Arabidopsis thaliana: one gene and its partner. The protein of the gene in region 2 interacts with the protein of the main gene of each other region in a pairwise test. Each region holds a gene or a part of one and is shown on either strand. Other genes may lie near its edges.

Region 1 (7,494 bases), on a different chromosome or scaffold from region 2:
CTTGACGGCGTCATGACGTTTTTAACTGCTTAGTCATTTGGAAAATGGGCTGGACTGGTACATGGGCTTGTGAAACTTTTGGATCATAAGAAAACAATGTGTGGTTGTTCTAAATAATAGTTATCCCTTTCACATTAAATGTTGATTCAAAATTTAAAAAATGTTTAAATACTTTTTGTATTAAAACTGTATATCTGATTTGTCCTTGGTTAAAATTAGTGACTTTATAGAAATGTAGACTTAAACTTGATTCGTGTGAAAAATGTAAAAACCACATATGCTATAGAATGAGGTATTGCATCGAGTATGTTTCTCCGACAACGACAAGCTTAAAAAAGAGATGGTAATAAATAATTCCCGACGATCACGGGACAAAAGCTGAGATAGCTTCAGCTCCACACTAAGCAATCGTCGAGAGAACCATCATGACTCGTCCCATTGGCCCAAAAGTCCTACTATCCAATTATCCTATTCTTTCTCTTATTTCCAAATTGGACCTACTTAATCGTCATTGCTTTCTCTCTTTAATGTTGTGTCTATATCAGTTTCTTTTGTTCTTACCAAAATACTAAATAAAAAAATCTTGCACTTCAAACCTTAAAACACGTGTAAACTCAAATAAATTTTGTATCAAATTATTTACTAGTATATCATAAATCTACTAGTATAATATAATACTGTATATGATAATCATGGCTATTAAAAACTTGTGATAATCATTAAAATGGCATTTTAGAGATCTATGTATAGTTATTATTAAAAATATATTTCCTTTTAACATTATAACAGCTTTGCTACCACAAAACATTATCTAATTCTAAATTTCTAATCTTCATTTTTCAACTAACTCAACTACCAAACAGTGGAATAAAGTCAAAAGCATGTGTAAATAAATAATAACTCGTAATTTATTTTCTTGGGTGCTTTTCTTTTTTGACCAAAACATATATAAATAAAACTAACAAATGCAAAATATCCTCGTATGACCCACTTTATGAATTCTTTATAACCTTTTCAAATTTTATTTTAAATCACTCGCCGCGAATGACGAATGTCCCCTCCTCAATCTTCGCATGTTTGCTCGCCATTTAACTACTTCTTTACTTATCATACCAAAAAAAAAACTACTTCTTAATTCTATTTATACATAAACTCACTCACACACCAAAATCACATCTCAAATCCTAAAATCTTTCACTCTCTCACATTATTCTCTCTTCATTGATGGCTTCTTTTGCTCTGAAACCCATTTTTTGTTTCATTGCTGTTTTTTGCTTCATCGTCCACAATGTTGAAGCTAGAGAGGGTAAGCTCTTCTTTAGCAAGTTCACTCACATAGATCGTCCTAACAACAAAGATGTCGCTCTATCTCCAGCTCCAGCTCCCGGACTAGCCCAAGCTAATGGAAGACTCGGAAATGGGTCTTTCGGGCCTGGTTCCGGTATGATTCCTCAAACCAAAGAGTCATGGCCAAGTTCATCCACTACAACAGACGAAGAGTTTGAGAAATTGATGGCTACATTTGACGAAGAAAAGAATACCAAGTTACCCGAGGCATTCGAGGAAGAAGAAGAATCTGAAGATTCGGAAGATCTCAATGAGCCAAAGGATAAGTACAACAACAACAACAACAATAATGGATACACTTACACTACTAACAATTATAATGACAATGGGAGAGGTTACGGTAATGAAGAAGAGAAGCAGGGGATGAGTGACACAAGGGTTATGGAGAACGGTAAGTATTTCTACGACACAAGAGGTAGGAATTCAGAAAACACCCCTAGTCGCGGGTATGAGAATGCTCGAGGAAATGATCATACCAACGAGTTTGAAACTATGGAGGAATACTACAAGAGCTTGGAGGGTAGTCAAGAAGAGTATGAGCCTTAGAAGGAAATTGTATTTGAGAAAACAAAACACTTTTTTGGAGCAATTAATTATATTGTGCAATCTCCATTTACTTGTCTTTTATGAAAAGTGAAAGTAAAAACACTTTTAAGTTATACAAATCAAAGCTGTGAGTTATATTATGTTTATGCTAAAATTTTTTAACGTTTATCTTAATCTCAATTTATGACCATGATTAATACCAGCGACGAGTATGTGTTAAAAATAGAATCAAAAGACCAATAATACCAATTTAAGAGAACTATGCAAGACCAAAACTACACCATCATAATCTCAAAAGTAATCATAACTGAATATAATCTCAGTGACCTAGAGAGTTCTCTGAAAATTTAAATTAAATAATAACGAAGAGAAGTAGAGACAGACACCGGTTGTAGTCATTAAGCAGTAATTACTTCATACTCGACCAGAGAGAGATTGTTGGCCCGGTTAACCTCGAACGAAACAGGACCGGTTATTTCAATGCGTCCCCATCTGTCAACAGCCATTCTCATAGTGTCCTTGAACAAGTCGATCTTCGCATTCCTCAGTATAACTGTTGCTCCAGTCTTCATTAGATCAACTGCATTTGCAACCCCAAAAGAACATCATTAATTAGTACCATACATATTCTCACATATTGAATAGGAAGTTGTATAAATGTCAAACACAAACACACTAATCAAAGCTTAGAGATTAATGAAGTGGAACATATTGAACACTAATCAAAGCTTAGACATATATAAATAGATATACTCTGTTCATCAATAAACTAAACTATAAGCAAAATTATCTATAAAAAAAGTTAAACTTTATCAAAATCTCTGAAGTATAAATGTTTTAGATCTTCACAAACATAGAGATTCCAATCAAGGCATATATAAACCTAGAAACAGAGAAATTATGGAAAGATTGAACGCAATTTCGAGTGAAAACGATAGAGAAACGATTACGAAACCCTAACCAAGAGAACTTATATATGTAAATAATTAAGATCCTTACCTTGGTCGTTGCGAGCGGTGAAAAGAATGCATCCAGTATCGTCACCAATTAGGCACTCAGCGATACGAGGAGATGAAATTGGCTGCTGCGTCAACGAACTTTTACGAATCGCCGGTTTAACGGGATTCGATTCAAGGACTTTGACGATCAGAGTATGGCCGCTGGTTCCTGGTTTGAGCTGATCCACCTTCACAAACACTGGTTTACGCTTCGGCGCAGTCGTCGCGTTAGTATTCGCCGTCGTCGACATAGTGTCGTAATTTGAATCTCCTTAGGGTTTTTCAAAATAATTGACAACTTTGACGTGATGAAGAGTCGCGCTGGTAGATTAGGGTTTAGATTCTTCACAATGGTATTTAAATGAGAAAATTAGAAACAAATCTTACTCTGGATTATTATCTAAATTACTGGATTATAAATTACCACTAATTCATTTTTTGCGATTTTTAAAACGGTATACATTTTATTGGCGCGTTCAAAATTTGAAACTTAAACTCATTATATTTTCATATTATGCTTAATATTAGTCGAATTTTCTTTTTTTGACATCCAATATTAGTCTAAGCAGATTGTGGAGTAATAATAAATCATCAAATTTTGTTATAATGTAGCAATGTATCATCTACTCAATTTTTATGTATTATAACTTTTGTATCAAAGAATACAATTTTAGATTCATCAAGCTTTCTCGAAGTATATATTCGACATGGATAATTTCTAAGTACTTGTTTATCAGATTCTCAGATAAAATATGAAAAAGCCCAAAGATAATAACCTGTTAAAGCCCAAGCAACAAATGGCGCAAAACTGCGAGACGCAAGAACGGGGACGTTTAGGTTAAAACATAAAAAGGCGTCATAAAACTGTTTTCTCTTTAAGGCGGCGCGTCAGTCAATCCACGTGGACATTTCTTTCCACATTTTTGTCACTTTGTCCTTTTGTGGGATTACGTCACTTCTATAAAACAATAGTTTTGTCCTTTATCTAAATTATTCTCCCCCAACCAAAATATGACCACAGAAAAAGAGAATGTCACTACGGCCGTGGCCGTGAAAGACGGCGGAGAAAAGAGTAAGGAAGTGAGTGACAAGGGCGTAAAGAAGAGAAAGAATGTAACTAAGGCCCTGGCCGTGAATGACGGCGGAGAAAAGAGTAAGGAAGTGCGTTACAGGGGTGTAAGGAGGAGACCATGGGGGAGATATGCTGCGGAGATCCGTGATCCGGTAAAGAAAAAACGGGTCTGGCTCGGGTCCTTCAACACGGGGGAGGAAGCCGCCAGAGCCTACGACTCCGCTGCCATAAGGTTTCGAGGATCGAAAGCTACTACTAACTTCCCTCTAATCGGATACTATGGGATTTCTTCGGCGACGCCGGTGAACAACAACCTTTCCGAGACGGTGAGTGATGGAAATGCCAACCTCCCTCTCGTTGGAGACGATGGGAATGCTTTGGCTTCTCCGGTGAACAACACCCTTTCCGAAACGGCGCGTGATGGAACACTTCCATCGGATTGTCACGACATGTTATCTCCGGGGGTGGCTGAAGCGGTTGCTGGATTTTTCTTAGATCTGCCTGAAGTTATTGCGTTGAAAGAGGAGCTTGATCGAGTTTGTCCTGACCAGTTTGAGTCCATTGATATGGGGTTGACTATTGGTCCTCAAACCGCCGTGGAAGAGCCTGAGACTTCCTCCGCCGTGGATTGTAAGCTGCGAATGGAACCGGATCTTGACCTCAACGCAAGTCCCTAAAGATTGATCTGATGTTGTTGTCCTTGAATAAGTTTGTTATCTTGTCGCTCTTCTGATTGTCTGTACTTCTATTGGTTGATTCGTGCTTTTGGAGGACAAAACAAACATTTTTTTATGTATTAAAAAAAGGTAATTGAACTATTATCGTATCATAACCTAGCCAATGGATTTCGTGTTGACGTGGGGGATAAAGAAGTATTGGTGTCAGGTGGGTCGCACGTGTGTTTTTCGCCGTCCACAGTGACACGTGGAATACAACTTATCTCACTACTTACCTTTTTTACTCACGCGCTCTCTTTTACGGTGATATACACTAGCTCCTTGAATTAGTTATAACTTATAAGAGCAAAGGTAAATATCAAATGAGAGAAAGAAAAACATCTGTGACAATGATTGTATTTAATACCCCAGTAACAAACTGATCCAAAATCAAGATTCTCTTGATAAACAGAAATATGTATGTTTCATCACTTTGTTTATAGCAATGAGTATAGAGTCCACCAAAAGGAGTATATATGTTCATAGATCCCATACATGCATGTATGTGCTCATATATTATAATATTATGTAGTCAACACGTCTCGATATGTACATCTGTCGATGACATACACATGCCTCATATGAAAGCTACTAGCTTTCGTGTGGTGTCCAAAGAAGAACAATTGGAGAACTTGTCGCACCTTTTTATATACAAAAAAGGATGTGACATATAACTTTAGGGAGACGGTACTAACACAACTGTATTCTCGTCTACCAGGCACCAGCATAACCAAAACATAACACATTTCAGGGTGAGGGGGATGAATAATTCGAGAATTGTGCATAGGTACATTCATAAAATTAAATCATAAACATAACACGTTTCAGGGTATACGATGAGATGAAACATTTATTTTCAAGAAACGCATATCTTAATATCATTTATAAAACTTAATAGCGTAAACCGAAAACGCAATGTGATCAATCGTCCAGTGATATTTTATACGTTTAAAAGCTTAATACAAATTAACTATAAAACAAAAACCATCAGTTAATCAATATACATATCACAATGATGAAAACAGACGAAGACGAAAACAAAAAAGAAGATCAATATACATATCAATATTCAATTGTGAGGTTGTAATGTTCAAATTGATCTATTAAAGATTTAACAAAGTATACATGAAAAGGGAAAAATATCTATAGAATTGGTGAAACATTGCACAATCCGAGTCCACAAGATATTACAAGTTCAACATATTATTTGGTAAAAATCCCATCAGAAAAAGAAAATTCTAAAAAATAAACGACAATACACAAGACACTTCTGAATTAGCTAAAAAAAAAAATCTTCAAAATAAATTTGAACAAACAATCTCTCCATGCATTGACCAAACCGTTACGAACCGATTATTCTCCCATGATTCATGAATGTGATTAAAATTCTTCCACCGAAATTTACATTCTCAAGTCAGATCTCCTCCCGGCGAATCTCCACCGTCAATCCCTCAAGTCAAGAGATCATTGACCCATCCTAGATCAGGGTCACCACAAGAACCATCCTCAATGTTAGTATTCTCCCTAACGGCCGTCATCGCCGTGAAATCGTTCATCTGTCTCCGGCGAGGAGTGAAATCATCACTGAAGAAGTTCGCCTGAGGTGAGTTAGTTAGGTAACTTGGAGTGGAAGGCGAAAGAGCAAATTGCAAAGGGCTACTTGGTTGTTGTTGCTGGAGATGGAGACGCTGATTGCTCAGACCGCAGGACGACGCAAACGCGGCAGCCGCAGCGGAAACCGGAGTTGTAACGGGCGACGAGGAACTCGCCTGCAGCGCTTCCGCTAAGCTCATGGAATCCAAAGAATTCACAAGCTCGCTCAAAACGTCTTTATAGTTCATTGAACCAGCGGCTGCAGCGGCGGAAACGGCAGAAGCGGCGCGGTTCCTCAACCGTGAAAAAGCAGCGGCTTTATTAGCCGGAGACATAGGTGGAGACAGAGACGGAGATCGAGAAAGATGAGACAAATTACCCAAAAGAGTGCTCGTGGGAGAGCTGCTACAAAACAAGCAACATGGATTCTTCGCCGCAGGAGAAGGCGACGCTGAGACACCGGAAACGTTCTCCGGAGGAAGAACCCTAAGCTGACGTGGCGAATGAGCAAAGAAACAGACTTTCCTTTTACAGTGTTTACCGTCTTTACAAGCTTCAGTACGGTAACGAATAGGATGGAGCCAACACTCGAAGACTCCATGAGCAAACTCACAATCATCTCCACGGCTACAATCACCACCACGACGAAACTCGGGACAAACCTCACCGGAGTATTGAAAGCGACGAGGGTCACGACGGCGAGCTTTCTCACCGGGATGAGCAAAAGGACAATCAGTCCAATCGTGGCTTCGGCTACGAGTGCAACGACGGATCTTGAATTCGAACATCCGGAAATGATCACTTGCGTAAGGATCATCAGAGTCAGAATCATAACAGTACTCTTTATTCTCTCTGTTGTTGTCTTCGTTGTCTTCTTCATGTTCAGATGTAATCTTGTTGCTTTTGTTCCAGTTATGTTTACGCGGCGAGCGAGGGGAAGAAGAATCAGAAGGAAAACTCTTGGAAGATAAAAGAAGCTTTCTCGGAGGAATCTCCACCGTTGGCTTCCTCATTTGATGTTCCGTACAAACGACATCCATGATGATATAATATCTAACTTGTTTTTTTTGTTTGTGATGTGTTTTGGTTTTGAGGGATTTGTGTAAGATGAAAGATGGGATATTGTGGTTTATATATATGTGGATTGAGTATAGATATAGACATGAGAATAAGTTAAAACGTATATTTAAATATTGTTAGCTTTGGATTATTATCATTAAAT
Region 2 (8,631 bases):
TCTTCCGGTATGGACCAGTCAAAAACATCAAGATTCTCCTTGAGCCGAGCCCCGCTCGAGCTCTTTGGTAGAACACTATGACCAGTTTGGAGTCCCCAACGGAGAGCCACTTGGGCGGTGGTCTTTCCAAGTTTCTCAGCAACCTCGGTAACAATCGGGTTTTGAAGAACCTTTAGCCTGACTTCTCCCTTACTTTGGGAACCCAAAGGAGAGTAACCCTATCATCAATCCAAAACAGATGAAAAGGCATCTTCGTTAATTCATACTTGCAAAAACAGAGTAAATTTTGGAATTTGTAAGTATACTCACAGATAAGTGAACTCCTTTGGATTTGCATAACTCATGAAGACCTTGTTGCTGCCAAACTGGGTGACATTCAACTTGGTTAACAGCCGGGGTTACACGTGCCACGTTAAGAAGATCTGTAAGCTTCTTCGACGAGAAATTGCTTACACCGATTGCTCGAGCTTTTCCAGAGTCATAGAGAGCTTCCATTGCTTTCCATGTGCTAGTTATATCAGGTTTTGTGAGCATCTCAGGTGTTGGCATTAGTGATTCCTTCTTCAAGCTCGCAGGCCAATGTATCTTCAACAAAAGCAAAAACACATCAAAATGGAAAAAATTACACGTAAACAAGATTCATTTGCTATAAGTTATGTACCAGATATAAATCAACATAGTCAATCTGTAAGTCCTGTAACGTTTTTTCCAGTGCCTTAGGCACATCTTCAGGTAAATGATCATTGCTCCTACAGAACAAAACAAAAAACATGAACATGTGTGTGTGTGTGCAGTGCAGACCAGAGAGAATCTTGGTAGAAACAGAACACCAACCAGAGTTTGGAAGTGATAAATAACTCCTCACGCTTCACAAAACCATCACCTATCAGCTTCTTCAACACACCACCAATCTAATAAATGGAAATCAATCATAGTGTGAGAACAACGAAAATAGGAAGAAAGCAGAACACATTTAGTTCCCACAAACTAAACATTCATATACCTTTTTCATTAGAAGCATCATACCAAAAAAAAAACTCTTTCATTAGAAGCATAGAGGCTACACTTACTGTGAGATTCTTGTTCCACCATGACCCTCAAAAACTATAATAAATATACACTCTTGTAGAGAATACATTTGATGACCAGTCAAATGACATCTATGGTTAAAGAGAGATAAATTAAAATATATTGTAGATAGCAAATTTACCTCTTTCTCGTTTCCGTAAATCGAAGCACAGTCGATATGCCTGTAACCAATCTAAAATAATCGACAAGAAAAGTGTCAAAGTTAAATTTTATATCCAATGGCATAATAATAAGGTCGAAGTTTGATCCGAAGGTGATACCTTAATCGCCTGTTCGATCGCTGTCGCGACCATTGCGTAGGTTCCTAGACCGACGCAAGGTAACTTGGCACCAGTGTTCAGTTCAAAGAATCGAATCGGAGCTGCCATCTCTTAAAAGTTTTCTGGATAATTCTATTGAAAGAAGAAAACTGAGAGAAGGTGATGAATATGCAAAAAAAAAACTAGATGCAGAAGAAAAGAAACATACGTAACTCGGAGAAATAGCACTTTGTTTCTTCCGCATAAAATGCTAAAAATCGTATGGCCACTAAAGGCGTTTTCTTTATAGTCAATTGTGCGTATTCATTTTCTTTTGCAGTGTGCACATAACATAATTATGGCATTTATTTCTAAAAGTGATGTACTGTCAAAGTCTTAAACAAATAGAAATTGGTTTGTTCTTTTTTTTTTTTGTTAGTTGGTTTCATTATTAACATTAGTGAAAAATATCAATTTACTTAAAAGTTTGATATTATGTCATTTTTGCATATTAATACCAAAACTAGGAAATTGTAACGTAATTAACCTGTTTTACAACCTATATACCATGAAAACATTAACTAAACATTTCATACAATTGTTCTCGAATAAACTAAATATATTCATAGAAACTTTATACAATTAAAAGAAAACACACAATTGACAAATCAAAAGCCACGAGACCACCCTTTTGGGTTAAAGTCTACGCTTAGAGAAATCAATTTTCCAAACCGAATTATTACATCAGGTTTATTAAACCGGTCCAAGCCTAACTTACAAAAAAAAAACGCACAAAACAAAAGTCACGAACCCTTCCCTCACACGCAACTTCAGGTTCCTTCAAAAAGCGCGTGTGAATCACGTGACAACCTGACGAGAAACAGGTGACTGGACTCCCGCGTAAACAGCAAACGTAGTTGTGCTTGTCGACGACGACGCCCTATTGGAGGAATTAGATCCAGGACCCGATACATCTAAATCGGATCTTACAAACCGACCCGAATCACCGGGAAGACGAACGTAGTAAGAAGAAGAAAGTTGCTGCGACTCGTTACCGTAACGGATTTGCATGACGGCTTTGTATACTAACGGAATTAGACCCTCCATTTATCTTGTTTATTGTTATTTTTGCTGTAGCGACCAAAGAAGAGCAGGTTTGGTTTTTTATAGAGCGATCAAGATTGTCACGTGGCGTCTTATGATTTGTTGCTGCATCCATAAGTTTTCTCACGTCATTAGTTAGTGTATTTAAATATTAAATGAGTTTGAATGTTAAAAAGATAAGCAACCTTTGAATGTGAAATTTGGGTATAGGAAGAATCTGAAAGCTACATTCAAACTAATATAAAAACCACGGCCGGTCCAATGGATTTATCTTCAACATAAGTTGACATAACTATTAACACATATTTAATATTTGTTAAGTTATACAGAAATTTATCAAATTAAGTTTATCCACATCCAATTTTGATAATGGTATGCAGCTGGACTGCTTTGATAATGATAAAATTTTAATTTTTGTATATTTTTTCAAATGTTGTTAGTAAAGTATACTATAGTAGTTAATTAATTGCTTTTAAAAAACAAAATTGTGCTATAAAATCTTTGAATAATGGGAAGTGTATCATAATATATTTATAAAGGTGGGGGATGTGTTTGGATTATTATAGAAAATAACGTATGATGTCAAAAGATTTGTTATATATATGATGACGTTTGACTGTTTGAGGTGTAAAAAAATAAGAGAAGGTTACGAAATTGTGCCCACTAAACTATTTGGGTATAGTCAAAATATTAAAAAGATATATATTAGCTATTGAGGAATTAATTAATCCGTTGGTATTGAAGAAGCCAATTGAGTATGATTGACTATCGTCTTGATTTAATGGTTATCTTCATCTGCCTGTATGATGACTGTGATTATATCATATAGTTCTTTATCTGATTGAAACTTGACTTTAAGGTTAACAGTAACATTGAAAAACAAAAGACCTTTCTATATATTTTTGTAACACTAAAATATTTTCTCCTCAAATTTGATAGATAAAACTAGAACATCTGTTTGTCCAAAAAAAAAAAAAAAAAAAAACTAGAACATGTGTCATTATCACGATGTTACAAATGAAGATAAAATGTCTAAAACAATAAACATCATGTCAATAAATCCAAGTTTCTAGTATTCCTCACAATTTATTTGTAATGAGTTAATCACTTTATTGTAAAGGTATGAAGACAAAAAGTTCGACAAGAAAATATTGAACTTCTTGTTTGCTTGTTCATTGGGAATAAAATCATTTTGTTCTCAAGGCAATAATCTCCTTATAGAACTAGGTTTTTAGTGGACAACTAAACTCTATACTTTGTATTCATGTGGGCCTTGTATGGTTAAAGCCCAAAACCTCGCTTGGTCAGTGTTGTTCTCATCTTTACCGATACAACAGAAAAACAAAGTAGCATTTTTTTTTTACAAAAGTATAAATTCTTTTTTCTATTTTCTATTGAGTTCGATTATGAACTAGTTTGCAGTATTTTATCAGCATGAGTTTTACCATTTGTTGTAATTCATTAAATGTATTATATATTACACATTTACAACGAAAATAGACATAAATTAAGGTGTTGTTTTTTTGTTCTAAAAAGCTTTTTACTCTACAAAATAAATTTTGATGTAACATATATGGCGCTAAGCCTAGAGCTCACTGAATATGCCTTACCCAAAATTGTTTTTTTGGATCAGCCATTGTATATAGTCATCCATTTAAAAGTCATAAAACGTTTCAGTCCCTTGAATTCTCTTGTTTTGTTATAAAGTTAACAATATATCCATAATCACAAAAATCAGGGATGAAATAGCATCATAGAAAATATTTTGGTTAAATGAAACAATTTAGTTTAATAATAAACTATTATATTTCATTTAATAAAATATTTCTAATAAACTAAATTCTTGAAATGATATTTCATTTAGCAAATATATATATATATATATATATAATCCATTTTACCGTGAGGATATTTATAATTGGTTTCAAAAAAAAATTAAAACAGATATATGTACTACATTAATTACAATACTATAAATTACTGTATATTCAAGGAAAAATATTACGTTCATTTGCGGGTAGCCACTTGGAACAAGCAAACATAAAAGATTTAGATCAGTCCGCTAACTTTTACTAAAATCCAAAGTTCGTGTCATCTTTTTCTTCATAAAATCCCTACGGTCCAATTATTATTATTATTATTATTTCCCAATTAATTAATTAAATAAACTATAATTCCTTTGATCGTTAAAAAACCTCCACTCGTTTTGGTTTTAATTTCTTTTTATATAAAACATCTTGACCTCCATTATTTTCATTACACCATTCTTGATCTCTTCCGTAATCCACCACCTAATATTAATCATCTAGGGTTCCTCTAACCAACCAAGAAAAAAAGGAAGAAGAAAGGTTTATTCTAGGGTTTGTATCGTCAACTTCTGATCAATATTGTCATATACAATGGAGAAACCTGGTGGCTTCTGGATCCCCAAGAAAAGCAACAAAGAGTCATCTTGGGAAGAGCTGGCCTTTGCAGAAGACGATGCCGCCGGATCTTTGTGGCCGCCAAGATCTTATACGTGTAGCTTCTGCCGGAGAGAATTTAAATCGGCTCAAGCCCTCGGTGGCCATATGAACGTTCACCGAAGAGACAGAGCACGGCTTAAGCAAGCCGACGACCAATACTTATTCCCCAAATCTTCTTCGTCTCCAGAGTATCCATCTCATAAAGATAGCGATAATATTCATGAAACCTCTTGCTATACTTTGGTTTTTAACACCAAACCTAATTATTTTAAGACTCAACACTCTTGTGTTATTGATCTTTCTTCGTCTTCTTCTTTACCATATTTGACTCCTTCTAGGGTTTCTTCTGGTTTGCCTGGAAAGCAACATACTTCTTCTTCTCCTCCTTCTTTCGTTGTAGAACCTTCCAAGAACTCTAAATATATTCCCTCTTCTTCCCCATGGTCGTGCCCAAGTACTGTTGTGGAGCAAAAGAGTTGTGATCTATATGAAATTCCGGCTATGGAAGGAGAAAAGAAGAGAAAGACTGAGAGTGATGTGCCAAAAATCGGGCATAAAGCAAAACTTAGTCTTGGAAACACCACTGATCTCTCGGTGAGTATGAATCTGGTCATCCACCAAAGTTTTCCGATTACTGCTCACGGTAGCGATGAAGAGATTGGTAGGGTGGATATCCGTAAAAGAAGACGAAGACATGAGAGTCCGTCGCAGCAGTCGATTTTCATTTCAAGTTTATCTTGTAAGAGTGACATAATTACAAGAAACGAGGAAAGCAAACACAAAGGTGATCGCTTTGAGGATTTAGATCTTGAGCTTAGGCTAGGGACTGATCCACCAAAAGGAATTTGATTGATGGACCGATGAATCTCTACCAAAACAAAGGTAAAGGGAAGATATATATAAATAGTAACATTTCATATGGTGAGACAAAATAACACATTTCATATGGTATGTATGTGAATGTGTATGTGTGTACTTGGATTTATCGTTCCTTCGTTTTGTGTGTCTAAAATGTACTGATGATTGATTTTTGGGTTTTATTTCTATTGTTTTATTTTGGGGGATAAATTGTATGAAAAGTTCAGCTAAAAAAAAATGGAAAAATCTAAAGGAAGTATTGAGTAGTATATGTATGTACACTTGAGGCTTGAGAACAAAATTTCATATACAATTAGGTATATTGACACCCTAAGTCATTTTGTTATAATTAGTAGTACATGTTTAGACAATGTTTCCAGGAGTGAATCATACATATGCTACCACATACCATTCATTTCTCAGCTTCTAGTTTACGACGTTGAGATATCTATTCACAGAGAAAAAAATAAAGATTGGTTAATGGGGTCAGATGAGCCCATATTATGATTCATTTTCTGGGTAAAGTTTTCGATATATATGATTTAGCTTGGATATGCAAATGACTATATGAACTCTGTAGTATATTATTTAGTAATAGTAGTATTTGAAATGATAATGTACATGAAAATACGAAACCATGAAAACGAGCAAAATACTTTTGTATATATAAACAAGAGCAAAGTATTTTGTATAGCCCAGCTTCACTACCTAGGCGATCGTTTAAATGCGCTTTAAAATCTCAGCTTAATTCGAATCTTACCGGAAAAATGACTAACTAAGTTGTTATGGTTTCCATAATAAGAATACGGGGTCTTAATAACTCTTAAGTCCGAAACCTCTTGGTTAAAAATTAAAAAAAAAGTATTGACACGTCTATACTTCCTTGAGTGATTTGAAGCATGTTGTGTAACAACAATCCAAAATAAAATCACATGAAGATGGAATATTTTCTGTCACAATTTCCAAGAAAGAGATCGAATGATGAATAATTCTCCCATAGATCTTAGTTAGTAATTTATTAAAGGAATTTCGATAGCTATAATATAATTAATATTTACGTAAAGTAGAAAAACTCGGAAGCAACTAATTATTGTTCTTTTTCCTATCATAATTGCAGGAACTCTGGCAAATAAGTTCGTAACTAATTTTGTAAAACAATAAGGAAATAGTTTAATAATGACTAATTCCTCGTTGTTAAACGTCGTTATAAGCTCGTTTCCACATACATTCGCATCTCAGTACGTAACATGCCATTCTGTCAAAATCATAAAAATAAGCATAAGAAAGAGCACAAAAATCCAAATATGTCACAACACATATTCCCTTTCGCTTGTTTTGTCTCAATAGATAATTGAATAGAATAAAATTATATACTACTCCAACCATTTAGAGTCTCTACCCTAACTTTTTAGCCCCATGGGTTACCAACTCTTCTATCGCTTAGACTTAACTTAATCTATAAATTTTCATATCGTATCTGTAAACTAGGTTTGCACTGTTTCTATATATCAAAAACCCATAACGCATTGGAAGAATCTGTTTATACTTAATTATATATTACACATTTACATTACATAAACCATAGTATTTTCATTCTTAATTTCTATCAACCATCCGGTTTCTATTGATACAACCAAAAAAACTTTTTGAATACAATAAGTGAAAGTTTTTACATTAGTGGAAAATGTTTACCCAAGTTGCTTCCCAATCCCACTACGTAGTACATTAAATAAGGTGGTGAGCTTTATAGGGGAAACTATATATAGATGCATATACGGGCAAGTATATATGATATATCTACTTGTCTAAAGAATTTTGGAGCTAATCTATTAGTGAGATTTTACTAGAAGTCTAAAAATGAAAAACAATTAGTATAGTCTCTTAGTGATTTGATTTGATATGATTTTATAGTGTAAAATATATATGTTGTATGAGATTCTAAGAAATGATACAGTGAAATAACATAGAAACTTTCTTCTTTTTGTGCAAGTTGATTTTGAAAAGAATTTAAAAACAGATATTTTCTCTTGAATGTTTTTCGATTCGTTCATGAACCCATTGGCATAAACTTCAAAGCTATCAACTAATTCTTGGTTTACCTAGCTAGGGTTTGGTTATTAGTTAGATACGCTCTTTAGATTGCTATAAATATAATGAAGTGGTCTTCTCTGTATATAACAATACATAGGTGGAAGTGAAGTCTTCGAATAAAAGCAGAGCTTCCACATGGGGAATGAATCTCATTCTCTGTAACTCACATATTTCAATAGTTAAATTAATAATTCAAATATGACAATAATCAAATATATACAATACGTGAAGGGAATTTTTTTTTGGATTCTAAGAATTAAAGTGTCACGGAATTTTGGACGATTCTTTAGATAATAATATAATGCATCAATTACTGGACAAAAATTGGTTATCAATTATTTCCCAATAGCAAGACCAGTCGACATATGTCTGTTTGAAACTAATCAACAACTAGACTTCGAATACTAACAGAAATATAATACACACAAGTACACTGGTACATATGTAAGCGAAAGTTCTACAGAGGATCCTGACAACAAGAAAAGACCAAAAATTCTTGGTTGGTCCGCTTTACCAGTCTGGTTTCTTTTATTTTATTCTCAGTTTTAAAGATGTGAGTGAGGTTATGTAAGTGATGTTTTGTCAACGACTCAAAAGAGTAAAATATACCTTTGATTCAAGTTTGTTACTCTCTTAGTCTTATGGTTAAGATTTTTGGACATTTCCTTCACTCCACCATGCTTGGCCCAATAACATACGTATGTGCAACAGCTTAGGGTCCATAACTTTTTTAAAAAAATTTGGTGGTCAACAAAGGTCCATTACTCTAGTCATACAGTATCTGA

The links.
Region 1: the proteins of ZFP10 (region 2) and ERF10 interact in a two-hybrid assay, tested with the Arabidopsis thaliana proteins (one large-scale study listed by BioGRID).

The regions. Positions count from the first base shown.
Region 1 is NC_003070.9:954,407-961,900, reverse strand, and holds ERF10 (ERF domain protein 10), read left to right. Parts: upstream 1-3,517; 5' UTR 3,518-3,902; coding exon 3,903-4,640; 3' UTR 4,641-4,797; downstream 4,798-7,494. Other genes in the region: AT1G03820 (E6-like protein), read left to right, coding at 1,225-1,893; AT1G03810 (Nucleic acid-binding, OB-fold-like protein), read right to left, coding at 2,292-2,473, 2,893-3,142; SOM (Zinc finger C-x8-C-x5-C-x3-H type family protein), read right to left, coding at 6,131-7,312.
Region 2 is NC_003071.7:15,824,821-15,833,451, reverse strand, and holds ZFP10 (zinc-finger protein 10), read left to right. Parts: upstream 1-4,667; 5' UTR 4,668-4,831; coding exon 4,832-5,746; 3' UTR 5,747-6,036; downstream 6,037-8,631. Other genes in the region: AKR4C8 (NAD(P)-linked oxidoreductase superfamily protein), read right to left, coding at 1-218, 310-585, 662-749, 835-911, 1,211-1,261, 1,350-1,457; AT2G37750 (uncharacterized protein), read right to left, coding at 2,187-2,435.